2 linked regions of the Neodiprion lecontei genome follow. The protein of the gene in region 2 interacts with the protein of the main gene of each other region in a biochemical or structural test. Links are inferred from orthologs where the notes say so. Each region holds a gene or a part of one and is shown on either strand. Other genes may lie near its edges.

Evidence for each region.
Region 1: the proteins of polycomb protein eed-B (region 2) and nuclear inhibitor of protein phosphatase 1 form a complex in vitro, tested with the Homo sapiens proteins (2 studies listed by BioGRID). The link is inferred for Neodiprion lecontei from reciprocal best matches to the Homo sapiens genes EED and PPP1R8.

What each region holds. Positions count from the first base shown.
Region 1 is NC_060261.1:17,295,216-17,306,962, forward strand, and holds nuclear inhibitor of protein phosphatase 1, read left to right. Parts: upstream 1-3,512; 5' UTR 3,513-3,727; coding exon 3,728-3,756; intron 3,757-3,893; exon of another isoform or gene 3,894-3,906; coding exon 3,907-3,967; intron 3,968-4,254; coding exon 4,255-4,408; intron 4,409-5,084; coding exon 5,085-5,305; intron 5,306-5,578; coding exon 5,579-5,782; intron 5,783-6,280; coding exon 6,281-6,655; 3' UTR 6,656-7,644; downstream 7,645-11,747. Other genes in the region: N(4)-(Beta-N-acetylglucosaminyl)-L-asparaginase, read right to left, coding at 942-1,098, 1,645-1,780; serine/threonine-protein kinase grp, read right to left, coding at 7,706-7,936, 8,104-8,235, 8,336-8,583, 9,436-9,636, 9,789-10,109, 10,771-10,994. UniProt on the Homo sapiens protein: Inhibitor subunit of the major nuclear protein phosphatase-1 (PP-1). It has RNA-binding activity but does not cleave RNA and may target PP-1 to RNA-associated substrates. May also be involved in pre-mRNA splicing.
Region 2 is NC_060263.1:6,599,392-6,610,082, reverse strand, and holds polycomb protein eed-B, read right to left. Parts: upstream 8,805-10,691; 5' UTR 8,552-8,804; intron 8,439-8,551; 5' UTR 8,250-8,438; intron 8,118-8,249; 5' UTR 7,953-8,117; intron 7,845-7,952; 5' UTR 7,704-7,844; coding exon 7,691-7,703; intron 7,464-7,690; coding exon 6,151-7,463; 3' UTR 5,790-6,150; downstream 1-5,789. Other genes in the region: sedoheptulokinase, read left to right, coding at 2,739-3,101, 3,203-3,453, 3,583-3,851, 3,937-4,074, 4,203-4,340, 4,418-4,613, 4,753-4,936. UniProt on the Homo sapiens protein: Polycomb group (PcG) protein. Component of the PRC2/EED-EZH2 complex, which methylates 'Lys-9' and 'Lys-27' of histone H3, leading to transcriptional repression of the affected target gene.

The DNA.
Region 1 (11,747 bases), on a different chromosome or scaffold from region 2:
TCCAAATACACTTGACGAATTTGATTTCTTGTTTGATTTTCTAACTTAATATCTTTGACTTTTAATTCGTGTTCTCGATTCACTATCTGTTTTATCCACGAAAACATGTGTTTTACTTCAAAATGAATTTGATCTATACTCGCGCTTCATCACTTATTTCACAGTTCTTTCCATTTTTAGTTAAATTAACACTTTATCTTCTTGGTTGCGTGTATATTCTTTTACTTTAAATTTAAACCACAAACCACACTCTGCTACCATGTGGATATAAAAGAGGGAGTGTGGTTTTATGCAATTAATATTAAAGTAGTTTATTAAAGTATAATAACTATTTACATAATCATTCGAATATGAGGTAATTTTCATTAGCATCCTGACTATCGGAAATATGCTCTTCAGTTTCCTCTCCATATGCTATACCTTATATTTCGAAGAATATTTTCATAAATGACACCGTATTTATGTAAGTAACTCAAGAAACCTTGATTGATAAACACTTGAAAATAGTCGAAAAAATTGAACAAATAAAATTTACTTACTATTGCAAAACACTAACACCGTGGAACTCCTGAGTCTTTCAGGGCACACAATCAATTTGCACTCTCTACTAGTTAACAAAAAACTGCCGGACTTGGTCATCTCTTGGCTTTCGATTCCCTACTACCAATAACTTTTTTTAGAGAGTGGGGCCATCAGCCCTTCTTGCATTTTGGAGATATTTAATGATAAAATTTGGGTTATACCTCAAAAGACCCGGGATTACTGTGGAGGATTAACTAGTGTTATTCTATAACTATAAATAACAATAGTTATATATAACTATTGTTATTTTTTTTAATATTTTCTCTCTTTTTCGAATTTTTGATTCAGACTTTCATTCATTCTAAAATCAGTGAATAATATGCTAATGATCAATATTTATACCAAAATGTCATAATCACCCATCCATTATCATTGCGTCCAACGTTGTCTCGCCCATCTCGTCGGGACTCCCGCCAAATCCAACTGTCGTCCGGCATTGAAGCTGCTCGCACAAACTGCATGCTATTTCTATAGCATCTAGCGAGCTACGTTTTTTTGTGTACAGAATATTCCATGCTGAAAATAAAGTAAGATTATGGTTATTTCATGGATATATTTCCCCTAATAAGAGTTTAAGATAAGACACTGGGAAAGTCCTGTTTATTGTTTGTTAAGATGCATTGCATTATATTGATACTGCATTATAGGATAAATATAACTTGAAAGTATTTTATCATTGCAGTATAATCGTTGCAGCCCAAAAATCAACAAAGCAAATCTTTGTTAGAGATGTTTATTAAACTTTTGAGTCATATGGGATTTTTCAAAAAAAGGGTAGAAACTAACTTAAAACCGATTAATTACAATAATGTGAAGATAAATGATTAGAATGCCAATTATTAATATTCACCAACAACACAAACATATTTACATTTGTCAAGATAAACATAAAACGTAAAATTTCAAGTCGAATTTCACAGTGCTGTTACACTATTTGGAGAAAAGTTTTATTCTGAAACAATTAGAAGCGAATAATGAATAAAAAAGCACAAAATTCAAGTATAAGTAAGTCTTAATGTAACGTAAAATTCAAGTAAGAAATTTCTTCATCGTTGGTTGTACCTTTGTCTGTGGCGTTCCAGTAATCCCATGTTGTTACAACGAGTGGAGTGGTTTTAGTAAATGTTTGAATCGAATTCGCCGGTAAGCAACCCGTAGCTACTATTAGTGTTGTAATAAACAAATTCAAAATTCTCATTATGAAAATGTCTCGATGCGATCGTATTTCAAAAAGGAATTGCTCGAATCGTGTGTGACATTCAAGGAATTCACATCACCTCTGCCGTTACTGTTGTTTCAGCACGACAAACATGCCGTATGGATAAGGATGAACAGGGATTAAACATGATAAACATACGATTGCGATTCAATTGTCAGTTCTGATTGGCTTATTTGACACGATTTACAGATCTTCATTACGAATGTAGTTGTGTACTCTGTTTTAAAATACATGCTGTTTGTCCAATGATAACTGTGGCTCAATCAAGTTGAATAACCATAGAGATAATAACAAATGGAGTGGGCAAGATGCAGGGGTTAGCATAGTACAAAGGTTGTGCGAATAAAAAGGGAAAGCAAATTGAAGTATACCTCTATCTATCCTTGTTGCATATACATTTACACATGCGCAGAAGAGAATCAGAATGATAGACTATTCAAAACTGCTTACGTTAATGTTGCAATTTTTCATTTGTAACTTTATTCAATTTTCTAAAAAGGTAGGTAGGGGTACTACCTTGATTTTTTGTCTTTGTTTTTATCACTAACTGGCTGTATCATTCACTTACCCACTCTATTTGTTGTTATCTCTATTTATATAGATAATTCTGGCTCGTTGACTAAAGTCGTTGACTGAAAACTGTTATTTTCCATAAACGCCCGCCTCAATCTCCGGTGAACCCTCCGAGAAATATGCAGCATAGAAAAATTAATGTGTACATAATCACCTAAACAGCACATTAACTTTTATTATCATCACACTTGTTTCATTAGAATATTACATAATGCGATACAATATTTATTCCGTGTGAATTGTATTTATAGAATATTAAATAACTTGATACGATACATATACCGTGTATAATTCTATTTTGGTGTGGACAGATTTCATCATTGACTGACTACTCTTACCGATTGAATTATTTTTGCATTGAAGCAGAATTTTCTGCATTTTATACTATAGAATCGGTAGTTAAAGATACTTTTTTGAGTAATATATTTGGTAATTTTTACTAATTTTATCCAGTCCTACTGGAGCGCATCGGCATCTTTTTGTTTCGCTACAATTTCGAATTCACCGCTCGTCCACATAACCTACAAGTCAGATGCATCATTGTTTTTCCAGTTTTAACGAAAACTATGAAGGAGCAAATTGCGAGGTTTGCGGGGAAATTATTAGATTATTCGCACCTCAATTCGTCTAAGAGATATATCAAAGTGAATTCGGCCATACTTCGCCTTGAGAAAACCCTCTTTTCATTTGTTTCTGATTCATTCGCAAACAATGCAGAAGCAATTTATCAAAATAATACAGTAACAATGAGTAATTAAGATAATATATAGGAGTAATTAAGGAGCAGCTCAAAGCTCATCCCTTAGAGCATGTACAGTATAAGGTTTATCCTGTTTCGGTGGCATAAAGAACGTCTGGGCACCAATATTTGTTTGAATATGGCGCCACTTTACTGGAAATGTTACCCACTCACGGTACCTGCAACGTTTTTTAGGATTTTCTCGAAAACCGCATGGGAGCAAATAATAAAGAATAGAGAGCAATTAAAAGCAATTGGGGAGAAATTTTTTGGCATAAAATTTTTTAACACATTCGAAGGTCGCAGGCCAACTCTATATAGTACTAGAGTTCAGTGGTCGCTGCAGCTTGTAAGGACTCTACCCTTACCTACCGAGTATTTCGCCCTTTGAAGCTAGCTACTGATTAGTTGTTTTCTATTAATTCGTGTTCTTGCCGAGCTATTTTTAATGTCGACTTAAAAATCTGTAATCGACTCAGCCCTTGTTTGTTTCCCGAAATATTTTTGTCAGAAATTCGCTTTATCTCCTTTGAAATTAAGAATGGTTACTAAATTCGTAGGAAGACTGAGGTTATAGATGTTTTATTAAAAGTACGCAACCTAAATGACAGATAATGGCGAATCATTACGAAGTACCTAGCTGGTATGTTATTACGAGAAATTATTACATTATAGGAATTCATACAATAGTATCCGAATTACAAATGATTTGAGCTAAAATATTTTTCATAACAAGCATCTTCCGACCCAAAACACCAGAATGACAAACATTGTAAACAGGTTATGTTTTCAGGGCTGGCAAACCTCCGGTTGGTTTGCATTTGGATGTATTAAAGGATGATAAATTAATCCAGGTAATATCCTTATTCGCCTACTAGAAGCATTTAGTGTTTCAGTAATTTACTTCTCAAGAAGTGTCGATTCTCACGTTTTTAAAGAAACCGGTAAACTCAAGAACTTTTTTGTTTATAAAAGCTTTCTTTGATTATTATACAAATATTAGTTCTTTTCGCAGCAGGATTTCTCTACTCTTGTGGTTTTAGCCACCATATTCACTATATCACTGACGAATAACGCCATTTGAGACTCTTAGAGCCACTGAGAAGTATATCACTCTATAAATGAATTAAACTCTTCCCAGAAATTGATGGTGGATGAAAAGAAGTGCTATTTATTCGGCCGCAACCAGCAAATGAACGACTTCTGCATTGATCACGCCTCGTGTTCCCGAGTTCATGCAGCATTAGTTTACCACAAGCATTTGAACAGAGCGTTTCTAGTAGATCTTGGTAGCAGTGAGTATCACATATGGTGTTAATTATGTCATGTATTGATAATTTCAGGAGTTCCATTGTCCAAATCAATAGTTGTTTTAAATTTTATCATGAGATAGTCGTGCATGGTGAATGTATTAACCTATTATATTCGTAAACTACAAAGGTTTCTTTAAAAAAGCGAAAATTGAAAATCCTGGAATTTCAGATAAAATCTTCAATATCAATGCTTCATTTAAAATAACTTCGAAACAGTTAAAAATCTAACAGGTTCAAATTCGCTCTATGATGGCCTTTCAGAAGATTATTGTTTTTTAGTAGTCAATTCAATATTGTAATTTTTTGATCACAATTAATATCTGCGCAATTTTGTAAAGCTAAATGTTTAGCGATGCCAACATGATTTAAAAAAAAGTATTTCTATGAGTTTGTGGAAATCCCAGAAAAATGTCCTAGTGAAATGAGCCATTCTAGAGTGAAAACGAACCTACTACACTTTTAATTAATTTGCAGCAATTTGAAACAAAGCATCGATATCCAAGCTTTCGTTTATAATTGTAGCATTTTCTGTTTGCATATCTAAAGAAATTACGACTGACTATCTCGTAATAAAATGAATGAAAAGTATATATTTTTGGTCAACCAACCACCTTCAGCTTTTACTTCATTAATTTGCCTTAACAATTTTCAATTGCAGCACATGGGACTTACATTGGAAATATGCGGCTAGATCCCAACAAACCGACTCAGTTACCAATCGACAGTACTTTTCATTTTGGCGCATCCACAAGATACTACATTATTCGAGAGAGACCGCAATCTGGGGCAAGACCGATAATTGAAGAACTAGAAAAATCTTCCGAAGATAATGACGCCGGTGGCTTACTTGGGCTTCCGGAGACTGAAACTGAGCTTGATGTAAGATATGCCAAATAATAATCTTTAGTGAATAGTGAACATGAAGTTTGTATTACTTCTACGTTTTTTTAAGGTTATTGAAAAATTTTTTTGCTGTATAACTAACGCATTTTGAACTTTGGTTATATCATAATCAATTATCGTTCTACGTATTTATAGAATTATTTCAGAATCTTGACCGATACGGTATATAAAGATATGGTTCGTGAAATGCAGTTGAACTTTTGAATGTCATAACTAAGCATGCTTCTAATTCAAAATTTACTCCTACAGAATTTGACGGAATTTAATACAGCCCATAACAGACGCATCTCGATGTTGGGAATAACGGATGATGACGTTCATAAAGCGACGAGAAAGAGAAAAAAGAAGGGCATCACATTCAACGACGACGAGGAAGTTATTAATCCTGAAGATGTCGATCCATCTGTTGGTAGATTTCGGAATCTTGTACAAACGACTGTTGTTCCCAGTAAAGTAAGTCAATCTCCTTGGTATCACTTCCTAAGTTCCCAACGATCAATCAAAGATAAAAGGAGAAGAGAGACTTCCAAATCTCTCTTCACGTTAATATAAGCGTAAACACAGAGTATGGACTGTGCATATGGTGCTGAAATTGCGTTGTGCAAGTGCGAGGGAGATGGAGGTAGTTGCGGCTAATATCCATCTCTTTCTAACTAGGAATGTAGTGCTTGCACTGAATACCTTGCGCTTCAACAAAAAAGTTCCTAAAAAAATTCAGACTTTTTCTTGGCGAGTTGTGTTCTCGATTTTGTAATGCTTACCTACTATAAATGGAACTAATAGAATAAAATATTTGATAGTAGTAATTAGGGCTGCGCATTTAATCAGACTTCGATTAATGGAATCGTTCACCCTTTCAATTATTCTTTTTGTCGATTGACCAATCAAACAGCCTTTTCAGTTCATTGTCGTCGAGATTAATTAGTATTTGTTAATATTTTCTTCTTTTAGCGAATGCGCATGGAGGGTGGCCTTATATCGTTATCGGAGGAAAATCATCACAATATGATGAAACATCTTCAGCCAAGTTCTGTTATGCCACAACTCTACCATGATTTACCTCCAGAACAGTTCTCTAACGCACATTCGTCGATGTCTAGTAACCCGTTTTCTACAGCACTGACATCACTGACTTCTCGCCTTGGTATAGCTTTACCAAACCCGGCTCCCGAGGTAGAAATGGCGCCGCACCAAATGCAAACAGAGGTGCCCCACATTCCAGATATATCAGGATCTTCGGAGCCACATTCATTAGAGCCTAAGAAAAAAAAGTACGCAAAGGAAGCTTGGCCCGGGAAAAAACCGATGCCTACTCTTTTGGTATAATTATAGACTTAACGGAATCCAGCTATCTCAGATCAGCGGTTATGAACGATCAATTCTCCTGTATCCGAAAGACCTTCTCAAAAGGATAAAGCAACTAATTTGGAATTAAATTTTTCTAGAACATGCACACGACTAAGTAATTCGCAATAATAAATCCGATTTTAAAATTCTTAATGTAGAATTGCGAACTTTATAAATCTGGATACCTTTAAAGTACTGAAACTAATTGTCCAAATGAATTCTGCTGTCACCAATCTGGAATAGCTATCTTAAGAATACAGACTAAATTCGTGAACTATTTACCTGATGAGGTTTAATATATTTGCGTGGTATCGTCCAAGTTTTCAACAAAAATTTCCTATTCAAATATAAACCATGATTGTATCGTCGTCGGTGAAGTGAAATATGTAAATAAAGTAATAAGAGATAAATAATTGATCTGTCGACAATTTTAAGTTCCACTCGTCTTTAAACGGATTTAATAGAGTAATCAAATATAGCGTAATATTTCGTACTGAAATCTCCTTTGGACCTTTCGGAGGTAAACAATTGTTGAAATAATACGAATTTTCCTATTTCAGGTAAATATATTTTAAAAATTAATGAGAAGTATACATTTTGTGATATAATAGACATGTGATGTAATTTGCGTTTATTCAGAAATTCAGTGTCAAGGAGCAAAGTATTGAATTCATAATAATATATCGAAGTAACAAGTGAAAGGTAAATTTGCAATCAGCGTCAGTCATCATTGTTCATCAGTATATTCATCAAAATGTTCAATACAAATTTTTCATATCTATTGTTAAGTGTATAAAGACAGTAAGAGGAACGATTGTCTCGTCTTTTATTCAATAAACCTCGTCAGAAATCAACGTTAATCCATTGCTATTCCATACAGGTGTTGTGTAGATTTTCAATGTTACAAACGCAAGTTGAATTCTAGCTCCAAATAATCAAGAGTATAATATTAAAGATCAAATTTTAAATTCAGTAGAAAAATAGAATGTATATTATTGAATATTGTTAATATAAAATTACTTTGTCAATCTAGCATGATTGTGACACAATGTCGTGATTCGCAATAGCAATGGGCCACGAAACCGTACTTTTGGAAACAAAGTCTCCAAGATCAGTTTTGATCTTAACAAATCTTCGTTTGAACTCGATACCGCATCCTTTGGACAATCTAAAGTCTACGAGTATTTTCCCATCCATATCAACGATATTTGCTTTGAAAACAAGAGGCATTTTCCGTCTATCAACAGTTGCAACTGTGATCTGAAAGAAGATATTAGCAGAATTTCAATTATTTTGATGAAAAAAATTTCTTGTGATGCGATTTGTTAGAATTTGTAGGTAATCTATGATCAGTGTAACTTTTAACTTTTATCTCAAACTTGACTCAAGTTACCAAAAGGTTTATTTAGAGTAGTGCAATAACTTACAACACCAACTTCGCTGACTCGACACGTGTATCCCTCATTTTCCAAAACAGATAACAGCTTCTTTGCAAAGTTGTCACCGTCCATTTTTACGAAAAATCTAGTCATACGGCGTGCTAATTTTTGAAAGGTGTTCTGTCAGATAATAAAAAATTTCAATTAATTCAAGGATAGTTTTCTGAAATTATAGTTTTTCTATAACTTTAAAAATGAAACATTTTGTCGACTTTCTCACCTGACTTGCGCTCTGCGTATGTTGAGTGGTTTGTAATGGCGTGCATAGCAATAAATCCTCTACGTCTGTAGGCTGGGAAAAAGAAAATCCTGGCCTTTGTTCAAAGTTCATACAGTCCATCTTGTTTATTTCAATACCGGGCATCTCAGGTTGCGACAAACAGAATCTAGACACATCGTTGCCATTCGCTGAACACCGTCGCTTTGGTACATTTCCATCCACCACGTCACTTCCCACCAATTTCCCATCTGCAATCCCACAATCGATATGTAAATTCTTTTGAATTGTGTCATGCTCAAATTATTATCAATTTATTAACAATCAAAATGATGGTAATTTAATCTCTGTATCGATGATTTAGCGAATTAGTCAGAGTGTTTAGCTCTGGATTTGCAAGGAGGACAATTAGACGATCTTAGCTGTCGTCCTGACTTCGGTATTCTAGCTTTATGAAGTAGAAAAGTCATACAGCTAGATAACCAAAGACAGGACAACAGAAATTCGATTTTCTTCTTCTGAACTGTGCAGATCAACGTGATGGCGGATAATCCAAAGAATTGGTTGAGTAAGCCGATGTTCTTTGCTTTGGTAATCTAGCTTTATGATCTTTAATTGAAATCATACAGCTGTATCACCAAAGAAAAGGCAATAGCTATTTGAAATCTTCCTTCATGGTATCGCAACTCACTGAAAAAACAAACGATGATTCATGCCAGCTAAAAATATAACAGTCAGAGTCATTGCACAGGTGTCTTCGATCAGTTAATAATGTTTAAAAATATTAATAAGTCTAAATTAAATAAATAGTTGATTCCAGACATTGTGAGTTACTTACTTTGTGCACAACAGTCAACAATTAACAATGAGTAGCTCTATAGGCCGAAGTATAAAGTGTTCACATAGTTGGGTACCGAGTTGCTTTGAGTATAGACTATTTACTCAGAGTCACTCAGTACCTGACTGAGGAAACACCGGATTAGTTTTCCTGCTGCTTTCTTCAAATCCAGTCAATGTAAAGTCATACAAGTAATATTGTATTCAATTCACTTAAAAATAAACTTTTACAACTCGAACAACTAATGAATTACAGTCTTTCTCACCTTCGTGGTATTTAGCAAGCATCCAATGATGTTCCTTGATTTGTTTCAAAGTAAACCTTGTCGACGGTAAATGATTGAGAACTTTTTTGGCTAGCGAAAGTGAAGTATTGTCCAGTTTACTCCAAGGCGTGAGTGTAAGTTTTCCCTCCTTCCACGCTATATATTCAGGACACTCTGCCAAGGGCTGATCCCATGGCAGTTCTATATTTCATATACGGACCATTTAGAAACTAAGGAGTGTAAGTTAAGCATTAGAAATATGAATGATAAGAGAAAACCGGTGAGGGTATGGTTTAAAAAATTTTTTTCCTCTCCAAACTATCAAGTGCATTTTTCATAACTGGTAAATTTACCTCCGGCTAACATGGCGACAAGGATAATTCCGCAAGACCAGATATCCGCGGGTTCTGCATGATACGGCCGATCTAGTACTTCAGGAGCCATGTACGGCAAAGTTCCGCATCTCTTGTCCAAGCAGCGTTCTCTGCCATTCAATCTATACACCGTTGCCATACCAAAATCGGTTACTTTCAAATTGTCATTATCATCGAGAAGCAAGTTCTCTGGTTTCAGGTCTCTATGCGCCACACCTCTGCTGTGCAGGTATTCAACTGCAGATATTAATTGTTTGAAGTACTTCTGAGCTTCCCATATAGGCATTCCTATGTCCGGTTCTATATCAACAAAATTACAAATAGACAAAGAAAGTTTATGTGAAAATAACGAGACTGAAACATGAAGCTGAAGTTAGTAACATTATTGTAATGTCTAACGTTTCGGAAAATCGTTATTTCACAATTGCAGGAATGTTTGAAATCTAGAAAATCACAATAAGACAACACGTATTCATATTTTGAAAACTTAACTAATTTACAGTCACTATAAAATCGCGAAAGAATGATGTTTTGTCCCAATGTTTTGCATTAAAGTTACCAAGTTCAGCTTCATACTTTTCTATATCCATTGTCACAGAGTTCAAGAAAAACTTTTTGCATTAGTTTTTTCGAATATATGTTTCTTTTGTATGTTTCATGACTAGAATTTAAAATGGTGAATCGCTGTGCTGTGTTGAGTGTTGAAAAATTCTATTCCTTGATTTCAAAACTTCATTGCACTAATTTTTTACTTGCACGAATATGTTTCCCAAAGTCTAATGATATTACCCTAGATTTCTTTACAATTTTCAAGTTCTTTCCTGAAATCATCAACTTTACAAAAACTTACTTACAATCATCAACTTTATGAAAACAAAATGAAGTTCTCATTTTACAGTAAATTAGCTATAAAAAGCAGTTTGAAGAGTTTTGCATGTAAGTAACAGATATAATGTATTACCGATGCGGTCAAATAGTTCTCCTCCAGCTGCGTATTCTAAGAATATATATTCCATTGCAGGCTCGCTACGTTGTCCAAAGTAATGAATAATATGCGGATTTGATAACATTCGATGGATGGTAGTTTCCTTGCGAACATTCTGCCGAGCATCTGGGTGCTTTTCTAAGTCGATCATTTTCATCGCTACAGCTTCTCCCGACGCTCTGTTGATCACCAGTTTTACCCTACAAAGATCGGAAAGTAAAAACTTTGAACGTGAAATATTTTCCAAACGACATTACGAGAAACCATCGCAATACCGTACAAAACAACTTTAATAATCTGCAGAATCGTTTAGTGAAAAAAGATCAAGTTACGTGGTATTTTAAACACCCAATGAACTGAAATGGGTTCTTGAATCTCGTTCCACACATTTTGATGCAAATATAATTGAACAACTTTTGATTCTACATTGTGAATGAGTTTTCTTTCATTTTCAAGACAAAAGATGTTTTCAAGACGACATAGTTCATTGTATGAGTTTCTTTCTCACTGGTGTCGTTTCGCTCTTAGTTATTAACTGGGTTGAATTTCATTACCATATAAAATTATCTGTAAAGAAAGTAACATCATCGCGCGGTTGAAATTTTGTGCTTTTTCTAGAATAAAATAAGCGCGATGCTGTGTTCATTGGCTATATACACTTTAAAATTTGAATTTTGCCACGAAAATTTCTGAATTTGTTACAGGTTTCATATAAAAATTGTACCAAATGTGTTCATGTTTTGAGGCCGTATCGAGAAAAAAGAATTGAAAAAAAAAAAAAAAAATTTAAGTACAAACTGGGAATAATTGTTAATTTTTTATCACGATCTTGATATGCCAATTTTAATATTCATAATGCCGACTTTAAAATAAATGAATCAGAATCTTTTGTAATCCAGGCATATAAAGAATAATTTTTTAGATATTCAGAAGGAAATCAACAATTTGGAAGA
Region 2 (10,691 bases):
TTATCGTGTCACATCCGCATTATGCTCGGTTAATCTACGGTGCACACGAATCGTCCAAGTTAGAGCAATAGTATGTATTAATTTATTTTACCCGTTTGCTGTCTTACATAATTTCCCTCATTGGCTCTCATAACATAAAACACATCAGTTTGACATAAACAATGTCTGAATTCAAATTATACCAAAAATTAATTTAAAAACAAAAACTAGATTGCCAAATGATCCTCAATCTATATTCTTTGCAAACAATCGAGTTCCTTCAATTTTAATTGCATATTTTCATCATTACATTGACTATTACTTACATAACTTTGACAATTAACTGGTGTTGTATATATGTACGTATAACTTATCTTCATCTGAACATCCTACCAGCGTTTGATTTATTATCTTTGAATGGTTCTATCGAAATTTTATCAAAAGTGAAACCGAGGTACAAATTCAATACAGTTATTGGTGTTCTCTAAAGTTTTGCTTTGATGTGGATATCAAAGATTTTGTCACAAATTTTGTCGTGATAACGTAACATGGATTGCTTGTTTGGTTTATCTCAGTTCAAATAAAAAAATTCCCATACACATAACATTGTCTACTTTATACATGTAAAACAATTTCATGACATTGCCACGAGCTCATTAACAAATGTGGAGACTGTGCAGCTAATACACAAATTTGATTACACTAGTAATTTCTATAAAATTCGTGTTCAAATGTTCTTGTCAAGAACGAAATTTACCTCTGCAATGACTACCAACATATCAATATTTACATTTTAACTAAAGGAGTGTACAGAAGAAGGGAAGAAGTCGAAAAAAAAAGTTTTGAGATAAGAGCAAAAAAAAAAAATGGAATTCTGAAACTTTCGAAATCCATGCAACCTTACAATATCATATTTGTAGTTGTGTTCAAGCTGAATAATATATATTACAACAAATGTTCGATTATCTGAGTTGCAAAAAAAAGATGCGATGTAAAATTTCAACTGGGTAACAGTTGCTCATTGAGCTGAATTCCGTATGTAGAATAAATTAACTTCCAACTCATAGATGTAAATTAAATTTATTTCACTCATCATAAGAATATGAAATATGTTCTATTTAAACCTTAGGATTTTTTAATTTTATGGTGTTTTCAAATACTAGAAATAAATTTCACTCGATTTGTCAGGAGAGAAGTTTTTTTTAACTAATCTGGGAAATGGTGTTAGTCGATTTAGTCCCCTTCTCTTTACAGTCCCTTATCGATAACAGAAAATCAATCCAATTTTCTTCTACAAGCACGAAATTTTGATTTGCATCAATTAGTTTGGCTGATAAAAGTAGCTCATTCTGTCACTAATCTCATTTATGAATAGTTGGCTGGACTAAAATCAGGGCGCTTTTTTCATTACCGCTTGATTTGCGTCATGCCTCATTGGTCGTCATGGTCAATGCATTGGCTTGTTAATCATGTGTTTGGTAGGAGAAAAATACAAATAAAATTAAACAGTAAGCAAGAGATATTACACTATTGGTAGCGACTAAGGTTTTTTTCTTCCGTGCGATATATTGAAAAGTATGGTTCAATTTGGGGGGATTTGAAACTGATTTGTACCGTTTCAAAAGAAAACACATCGCTACAATAGTGTTGTTAAACCTGATTTCCAGGGTAAAACTTGCGGTTAAGGAAAAAGAGGATGAGAGAATGATTGAAACTAGTCCTAATCTTAGAAAAAGGGTTTCTGAACATAGGCCCAAGTGTTTCTTTGCTTATGTAAAAGGTGAAGAATGCATGCTTTGATTGAGTACCTGCGATAATTATGCTAAAAAACTAGTTAAATCACACAGGTATTTAGCTACACTTTGCCTTACACAAATTTGTACAATTATTTGCATTCCTGTATTAAGATGTATTAAATAAAAATAATTCGTGAAAATACCACAAAAAATATTTATTCGATTTCTTCTTTTTTCTCTCTTTCTCACCTTTAAACCCTGTCTGGTTTTTAATTTTAGAGTATTGATGGATGTTCTATTTTATCTCGCAGTCAACATGGTTATCAGGCATTGTGTACACGCTTGCTTGTTAGACAACCCTTTGGTTCACGTAAAACAACAGCTGTGATCAACAATTAATATAGTGCCTGAGCCAGTTACCCACAGTCCTCCTGCAATCATTGAAGAGTTGACTCAATTTAATACACTTGTCACCTCGTACCAGGTTCGATATACCCTGGCGGCTAAAAGAAAGTAAGACTTAAATGCAGAAAAAAAAGCAGTTTATTATTCCACACTTTACGATACTGTACTTCGATGAAGATAATGTCATAACAAAATCTTACCTTGTTTGAACCCCGTTCGTTCTACTTGGAGTATTTTCATAACGTTTTGCAATTAGTACATTATTTACATCGCTTCAAATCTTATTGTTTGTAAGTACATCTTGCTATAACTTCAAGTTCACCATTTGCTAATGCTGGGCATGAAAGATTCTGCCGCCAAGATGGTTGTAGCCTTTTCTTACGATCTAAAAATACTTGAGATTCGTTTATTTCCACTTCTAGTGTATTTGTGGCGGTTTGAAATTAATGCATATGTAATAATAAATACATTTTACACGTGTTCGGCTAGTATTTAGTAAAATCACTGGATCAATTTCAAAATGAGTAGACGATTAGAAGCTGAGTTTTTAGCACAGTATGTTTTTCAACTCGCATATTTATCTTATTCTGAATTCTTCCAGCTCTGACTGAAAGGTTTATGTGCTTTGAGAAAAAGTTTACGCAATCTGGTTATAAACAGTTTACTCTTACTGCTACTTTGGAACGCTTCTCTTCTCTTCACTTTACAAGTAGTTCTTTGAGGAGTCCTTTGGTATATTCGCAGCTGACGATCATGGCACATTCACAAAAACTAGCATTAGGCATAGATCTCGGTACAACTTCGGTTAAAGTAGTCGTCGTGTCAACTGAGACTAAACAGATTGTTAGCAAGCAGTCCAAGGATACGCAGGCTAATGTGCCTAGTGATCTGGGTGTGGAAGGAAACAAGCAGGATGTACCAAAAATCCTATCCGCAGTCCACAGCTGTGTATCACGCATTCCAAAAGATTTGCTTCGCCAGGTATTGCTGAACCAATGTTTAGGAATAGATAAGAACAGTTATGTTGATGCTAATACATAGTAAACAACAGAAGAAATATTAACTTAAAACCTATTGCATAGGTGGTTAATATCGGAATTTGTGGACAAATGCACGGTGTGACTTTTTGGAAATATTCGTCGGAGGAAGATGATAAGGAACACGATGGGGTATTTAAGTTGGAAATTTCTCGAGAAAAAGTATCGCCACTTTACACTTGGCAAGATTCACGCTGCGATCCAAAATTTCTGGCATCTTTGCCAGCATCAAAAAGTCACCTAACTACCCACTCTGGTTATGGTTGTGCTACTATATTCTGGTTTGCTAAATACAAGTTAGTATGTATTCATTGTCTACATAAATCTTTAAGTATATGTATCAACAAGAATGTCGTTTAAATTTATTTAACAGCGAGTTTATTTGACCGCAGTAAGAAAAAAAAAAAATTTCTCCCGTCTTGTAGACATGAAAAGCTGAGCAAATACAATAGATGTGGTACGGTTCAAGATTTGCTGGTGGCTCTGCTTTGCGGTCATAGCGAAGTAACGATCAGTACACAAAATGCAGCGAGCTGGGGATATTTCTTAACAACAGAGTCACGTTGGGAAATAGACGTCTTGTCGCAACATGAATTTCCTACACACATTTTACCAAGTAAAATTTTGCAGCCCGGACAAGCGGCTGGCTGTCTGGAGCAAACGTGGTTCGGAATTCCTGCTGGTACACCAGTAGGTACAGTATCGTCACTGACTTATTGTTCGTTAATAAGGACTTTACTCGCTTGAAATTTGAAGTAATTTATCGAATCTTTTCGTAGGTGTTGCTTTAGGTGACCTGCAGTGCTCTGTTTACGCCTTATTAAAAGATCCGACAGATGCGGTATTGAACATTTCCACTTCAGCGCAACTTGCCTATGTTGATCCGTTTTTCAGTCCGAAACAGTCAGGTGAAACAGGTAATTACTGCGAATGCAAAAGGCTAGGAAAGTATATCTAATCCTCGATGGATCAAACATTTGGATAGGTCGATATCTTTCTTAAGTTTGGGATTTCAACAAGTCAATACAACTGTATAAATTTGTAGCAAAAATTCAACATTTTCCATATTTCGAGGGGAGGTACTTGGCAGTAGCTGCATCTTTGAATGGAGGCAATTCTTTAGCTACGTTTGTCAGAGCTTTACAACAATGGAGCATGGATTTAGGCTTCTCAATACCTCAATGTAGGTATATTTAATAAAGTAAGGAATGTGGAGTATGCATCAAAAATATATTAATTTACGTTCAATTTGTCATTCAGCTAAGGTTTGGGAAAAGTTAATAGCTTTAGGGCAAGAGGATACGGCTATTTCTGATTTGGAAATTGTGCCTACTTTGCTCGGTGAACGCCATGCTCCCGAACATACGGCTAGCGTGTCTCAAATAACACTAGACACCTTACAACTTGGCCAGATATTCCGTGCTCTTTGTTCTGGGGTAATAAAAAATCTTCATAAGTGAGTAACTACTTGAACAAACTCATTAAAAAGTTATCTTCAATCAGTATTGAATGTTCGTCGATGAACTTGATTGAAATTTTCTTGTGTCTGGGCTTTAGTTTGATTTTTGAAGGTTCATTTTTTCTCATTTCTCTAGTATGATGCCGCAGGAAGTATTGCAAAAGGCTGGAATACAGCAAATTGTTGGTAATGGATCAGGTTTGGTTCGGAATTTAGTCTTGCAGAAGGAAGTGCTGCGATGGTATCAGTTACCATTGGAAATAGGACAATCGGGAGATGCAGCTCTTGGATCAGCTCTTGCAGTAATTAATCATAACTAGAAAATTAGTGGAGCCATAGACTGTAAGCTCTGGCAAAGTGTCAGTAAATGTAGTATGACCTTTTGCGTCACAAATAAAAATACTAACAATCGTAGTCTTCGAATATTTTATATGTATGTATAATAAATTTCAGATCATTATTGCCGATAAAAAAATTGTAATGCTACTGTTTACTGAATTTAGAGTTTCATTTCCATTTGCATGCAATACCTTTAAAATACTAGTAGGAAATATGATTGTGACGGTAGTAGCGTGCATGTCATACAATATTGATGCAAAAATCATGGTTTCACAGTTGTAGAATGACCTTGCAAGAGTTGAGTCTCCGAAATATGCGGCATAGGCTTTATTCATATTCGCTGCATGCAACGCATTTAAAATAGTAGATAGTAGACTAAGAATAGAAAGATAGTAGCACTGGTGTCATAAAATGTTGATACAAAAATCATGGTTTCACAGTTTTCGAATGATTTTGCAGCTGGAGCTAAGTCTCGAAAATATGATTATGTTTTATTTTCAAACAACACTGAACTTGTAAAATTACAGTTTTCTTTATAAATGTATCGTTTTGCAACAATACGAATTTCAATCCCATGTAAACATGCATCTAGTCAGCGTCATCTGTCATTGTTAAATAAAACATCGTGTCACCATTTCACTATACAGATATAAGAAAAGATTAGCTGTGGATCTGTGTTAACTTTGCATGAAGCGAATAAGGTATAATTTTACATCAGCCAATGGAAATTACAGCACGATTTTTTCCAACTTATTTTCTAAGTTAAATGCATGCCGTAAAGTAAGAAACAAAATTTAAAATAATCATTAAAGTAGGTATAATAAATCCCAACAGTTTTGAACGTTCAGAAATGTATATCAAAGGCACTTTACTTTACATGTAAACATTTTTGAGTGATACACTATAATATTGCTGTGTGTCACAAGCTTAAGTTACACAGACTATACAAAATTCAAAACGGCGGAATGAAAAATTCTAAAATTTAATATCCAAAACTGTATCGTATTAGTAAACATGACACAGCGAGTCAATTATTGTATTACCTATATACAGAACAAAAAAAAAACAAAACGGTAACACCTAATACCGTTATTTACATAGTGAAAAACATTGTAATTTCACACTGAATAACGTCTATTTTTAATACATTTATATATTTTTTCATAATTCAGGAATATCATATTCCTTAGGAGGGTTAGTGATCCCTGTTCCATCTCCATATCGTGGCATCATCGCACACGCACAAAAGTACAGAACCATCTCTGCTCAGGCTAGTTTGCCGTATTGGCGCGGTGCACCGAGGATGTTCCAATGTGCAACATCGAGCTTGGCCTGGTTCTTCAACCTCCAGATCCCACACATAGGTACGACCAGCTTGGTTACCAAGTGCTATTGTCCTTTGCCAGAAATCCATGGAGAATCGTATAAACCATATATCGCATTCCTTGAATTCAAAGCGATGCAGTACAGTGGCGCTTGTTTCGCCGTTACGAAGTTGGGTATCTTCTAAACGTCCAGGTTTCCAGCATACGATACAATTTTCGCAAGATTTACTAAGTATGAAATCTCCGTACCATTTAACGCAGTCCACATAATTGCGATGCACATCTCTTGTTGTAAAGTCGGGAAAATGTTGCAGAATCGAGTCAAAAGGTCTCCCGTTGCGGGTCGGATTGCAGTAATACGACTGCTTGATAGCATCCAGCATTTCCCCTTTATCGAGGGACCAAAGTTTCAATGCGTGATCCATTCCGCAAGATATTATCCGTTGTCCCATCATATCAAAGTCCGCGCTCAAGACTTCGTCCCTGTGACCTTCGACACCTCCAAATATTGCTATGCAAACATCAGTCTTAATATTCCATAAACGTAGAGCGTGATCCTTCGAAGCTGAAAGAAGGATATTTGGGTCCTTCGGATGAATTTTCAGCTCATTAATTGCGTGACCGTGACCAATGTAATGCTTAATGCACGTCATAGTGACAGTACTAATTACTCTAATTACTCCTCGAGAGCCTGCAACGGCTAATAATGGTTTTCCTGAATCATCGTATGTCCATACACATGTGTAGAAATTTTCTTCACTGTCAGGATCAGCGTAACATTGTCGAAGCCTGATATTGTTTCCCTCGGGGCATTCGTAAATGCTGACTCTGTTACTTCCTACTGATGCAAATATCATTGGTTCACCTTCTTTGAGATGGTGATTGAACTGAGCGCCAAACAAAGGCTGCCCGTGGTCTTCCTTGACACTACAACAGTATTTATACATTGGTTTGTCATTCAGAGACTTGTTCTTTGCCGTTTTACTTCGCCGTCTTCCCTTCTTCTTATAACGAGCACTGCGAGTCGGAGTATCGCTTCGATGTGTACCTGCAGTCGAATTGCTGCCAATACTACACTCGGTTTCGTCACTATCATTGTCAGTGTCTTCTTGACTCGAAGTATAAGTCTGGCACTGAGGTTTCGCACCAGCTTTCTTCATTATATCTTCCGTCTGTTGATAATCTGAAAGTACACATATCCAATAATTACAAACATCGGACTAATTGGTAGATACTCATTGAGGAGTTCAAAAAGTTTCAATTTGCTGTTTTAGTATTTAGTAAGAAACATAAAATGGTATTCAAATATTATTTATCCAGTCTTGGGAAGTTTTTTGTGGTGATAAATTTCATGGAATTATTTTTTGTAGCTTGTTTGAATAATTATTTCACTTTGTACATGTGACTCACTTGAACTGCACATTTATGCCACAGAATCATCGACAATGTACATTGCTGTATGTTGATCACGGATGTTTAACAATGGCAATCCGCTTCTCTGACCGAGAACTGTGCAAGATAAATTGATAATTTGATCACCTAAATAGAGACAGTCCTCCGGTACCTAAATGAAAATTTGTATTCAGTTTTTCACCTTCTTAAAATATTTCTAATTTTATTTGACAAATCGACATTGCGTAGTATTTAGACATTTTGAAATGCGTAAACTCACATTAATATTTGAATTGAGAAGCCGAAGATTGTACTTGTCGCAAACTTCCAAAATCTGATCTTGCGTCACACCCATAGCATTTGACGATATGTTGTTACCATTTACTAAACAGGTGCTACTCAACAATATAAAACTCTGATCAACTAGCAGAATATTCTTCTCAACCTGAATGAATAGGAGAATAAAAAAAAAGTATAGGTAATTACGATTATGACGAAAAACAGATGCAGGTTTTTTTCTCTATCTTAAAACCATTAATACACGACGAAAAAATAATTTTTGTCGTTAAATACCCACCTCCTTCAAAGATAGCGTTAGCCGAGAGTCGATTGCAAATACGATAAAATCGACGTGAAGATTTTTATGAGTGGCAATAACTTCGGCGACAGACTCGCACCGATGTATGAGAATTTGTTGTTTTTTCCCTGATGCACTATTCAGCAATCCTTGAGATATTTTCTCGCAATATTCGGCGGTGGAAACGATCTGCGAGATTGAAGTTGTGCGTTGTTCCGTTAGGGATGATTGTGGTGCGTCAGTATTTAAAAAAATTTTCTTAAGTGAGAAAAAGAACCAGTAACGAAAGCGTAAAGCCTTACCAAAAACGAAATGACCGCGAAATTTTTTCGTAATCCATAACGCAAGACCTGCGCCATTAGAAACCAAACATCCGACGTTTGCCACCGGCAACTGCCATGAAATAGACCGTTGTATCGTATCCGTCCTGCATATTACAAATCTAACCTATAAGTTATAATCTATCACGAGCACTTCGTCACTTTTGCGCCTTCAGAGATCGGGTTCGCTCTGTTTCTCTACCGACTGCTTTAGCTATTAGCAATAAACATAAGCCTACGTGATGCTATGGCAGTGCATAACGGTAAACACTATGTTAGGCTCACAAGTCACAGCCTTTGGCGACATCTACGAAACTCGGGTGGAGTCATGTCAGTCCTTACCTTTGGACGTGGTTGGTTAGTTCGATAACACCAATCTCCACCACACGGAATGAATTTTATGGAATCGCCAAGCGAGGCATTCAAACGAAATGCGATCAGTCTTATCTTCGGAACCCGGGGAATGAATTTCCGCGAAATCGGCGTATCTCAGTAATAAATTTCAACAATAGATCTCTCTCTGGCCTTCTGTCAACAGTTTCGTATACCTTATATGTATGTTATAAATTTGTCGAAAACAAAAAATACGACCAGTCTGAACACAAAGAAATTTTGATTGTACATACTAAAAGAGAATATTGCACTCTTCCTCTGCACCTTGAAAATATACAGAACGGTACCTATCGTGTAGACATTTCTATAATTTTGAACGAGTGTTTTTTCTTGCCCCCAAGGAATAGTGCAGATTGGTTATCCGAATTTACGATTATCCAAACGGTACCCAGTTCCAATTAATTGAGTAATCGACGTTCTACTGTATACACGACACTATACAAATAAAAATTTCATTGTTTCAAAAAGTGATATTTTACAACTTTTGTTTGATAATAGGCACTGAAAAGTATTACATGATTTTAGAAGAAGGAACTGTTCTACACGAGAATAATTTCGCAGATGAAGGTCCCTGTTGTATCGCCGGCATCTTCTCGAAGTCCTTCAACGTTTAGATATGTAAATTTTTTCTCTACGTCTTGAGGGTGTGCACTTGGCGCCCATGGTAATGAGGTGAGGGGTAGACCTGGTGAAAAAATATTAATGAAGTATATCTGGAATAATTGCCATTTCAAAGTATGTAATATCTTAGTTATTATTATGATAGCTATATTCAATATACCAATTATAATCTCAGTGGCTTTTCGTTCACCATTATTCCATAATTTTCCTTGCAGTCTTGAAAATACTTGCAGAGATGGTGGGAATAAAATAATGTTCAATAAAGATTATTATTTACCAGTTCTGTCACTCGTCCATTCGACGCCGTCGTAAGTTTTGTGAATTCCCAAGTATGGCTGAACTTTGCCGTTCGTCACAGAGTATGCGTAACGAATCTTTTTGAAAGAATCGGGACTTGCCAGGTTAGCACCCTCCAGAATACAACGTTTTCTAGCTTCGTTCCATGTCGGTGCGGCGACGTCAGTCCACTTGTAAGCCATTCCGACATCCGGGAAGGCTACATATCCTATGGGCAACGTCTTGGGTTCTGATACACTGACAGAATTTTGACCTGGAACTGAGTTAACGAAAAATTGAAGCATGTTTAAACGAGAGAGGGTAGCGCTTTGTTGATAAATTTCTTCATTGCGATTTCATACCTGAGGTGAAGTTTTCGTAAATACAATTCGTGGTACCAACTAGGTGACAGAAGAGTTGCAAGGGTAACGTAACAAGTAAATTCGACATCTTCGGAGTTCTTCCTTCAGGCTATATTCCTCTTCGTTGTCTTACGGTTGGCTATGTCCGGGTAGGAATGTGCCAAGCTATACTCTCCGTCTGCGGACGAGTGCGTATCTCGTTAGTTTATTTCGCCAGTAACTACTAACTGAACGGCCTTGATTCGTCGATTCGACTGCGTATACGGATTTCCCCCTGCCTAATGAGGCTGGTTTACCCCTCTTTCGTTGGATTCATCGTACAATCATCTTTCAAGGAAATTTTATTTCCTGGAAACTAGTATATCTAGTCGCTGGGTTCACAAAACATAAATATTTGCATGTCGTCATCTATGGATGCGATGGATGCTGCAGTGTTAACTACGTTCACGATAATGTACATAGTATAAAAC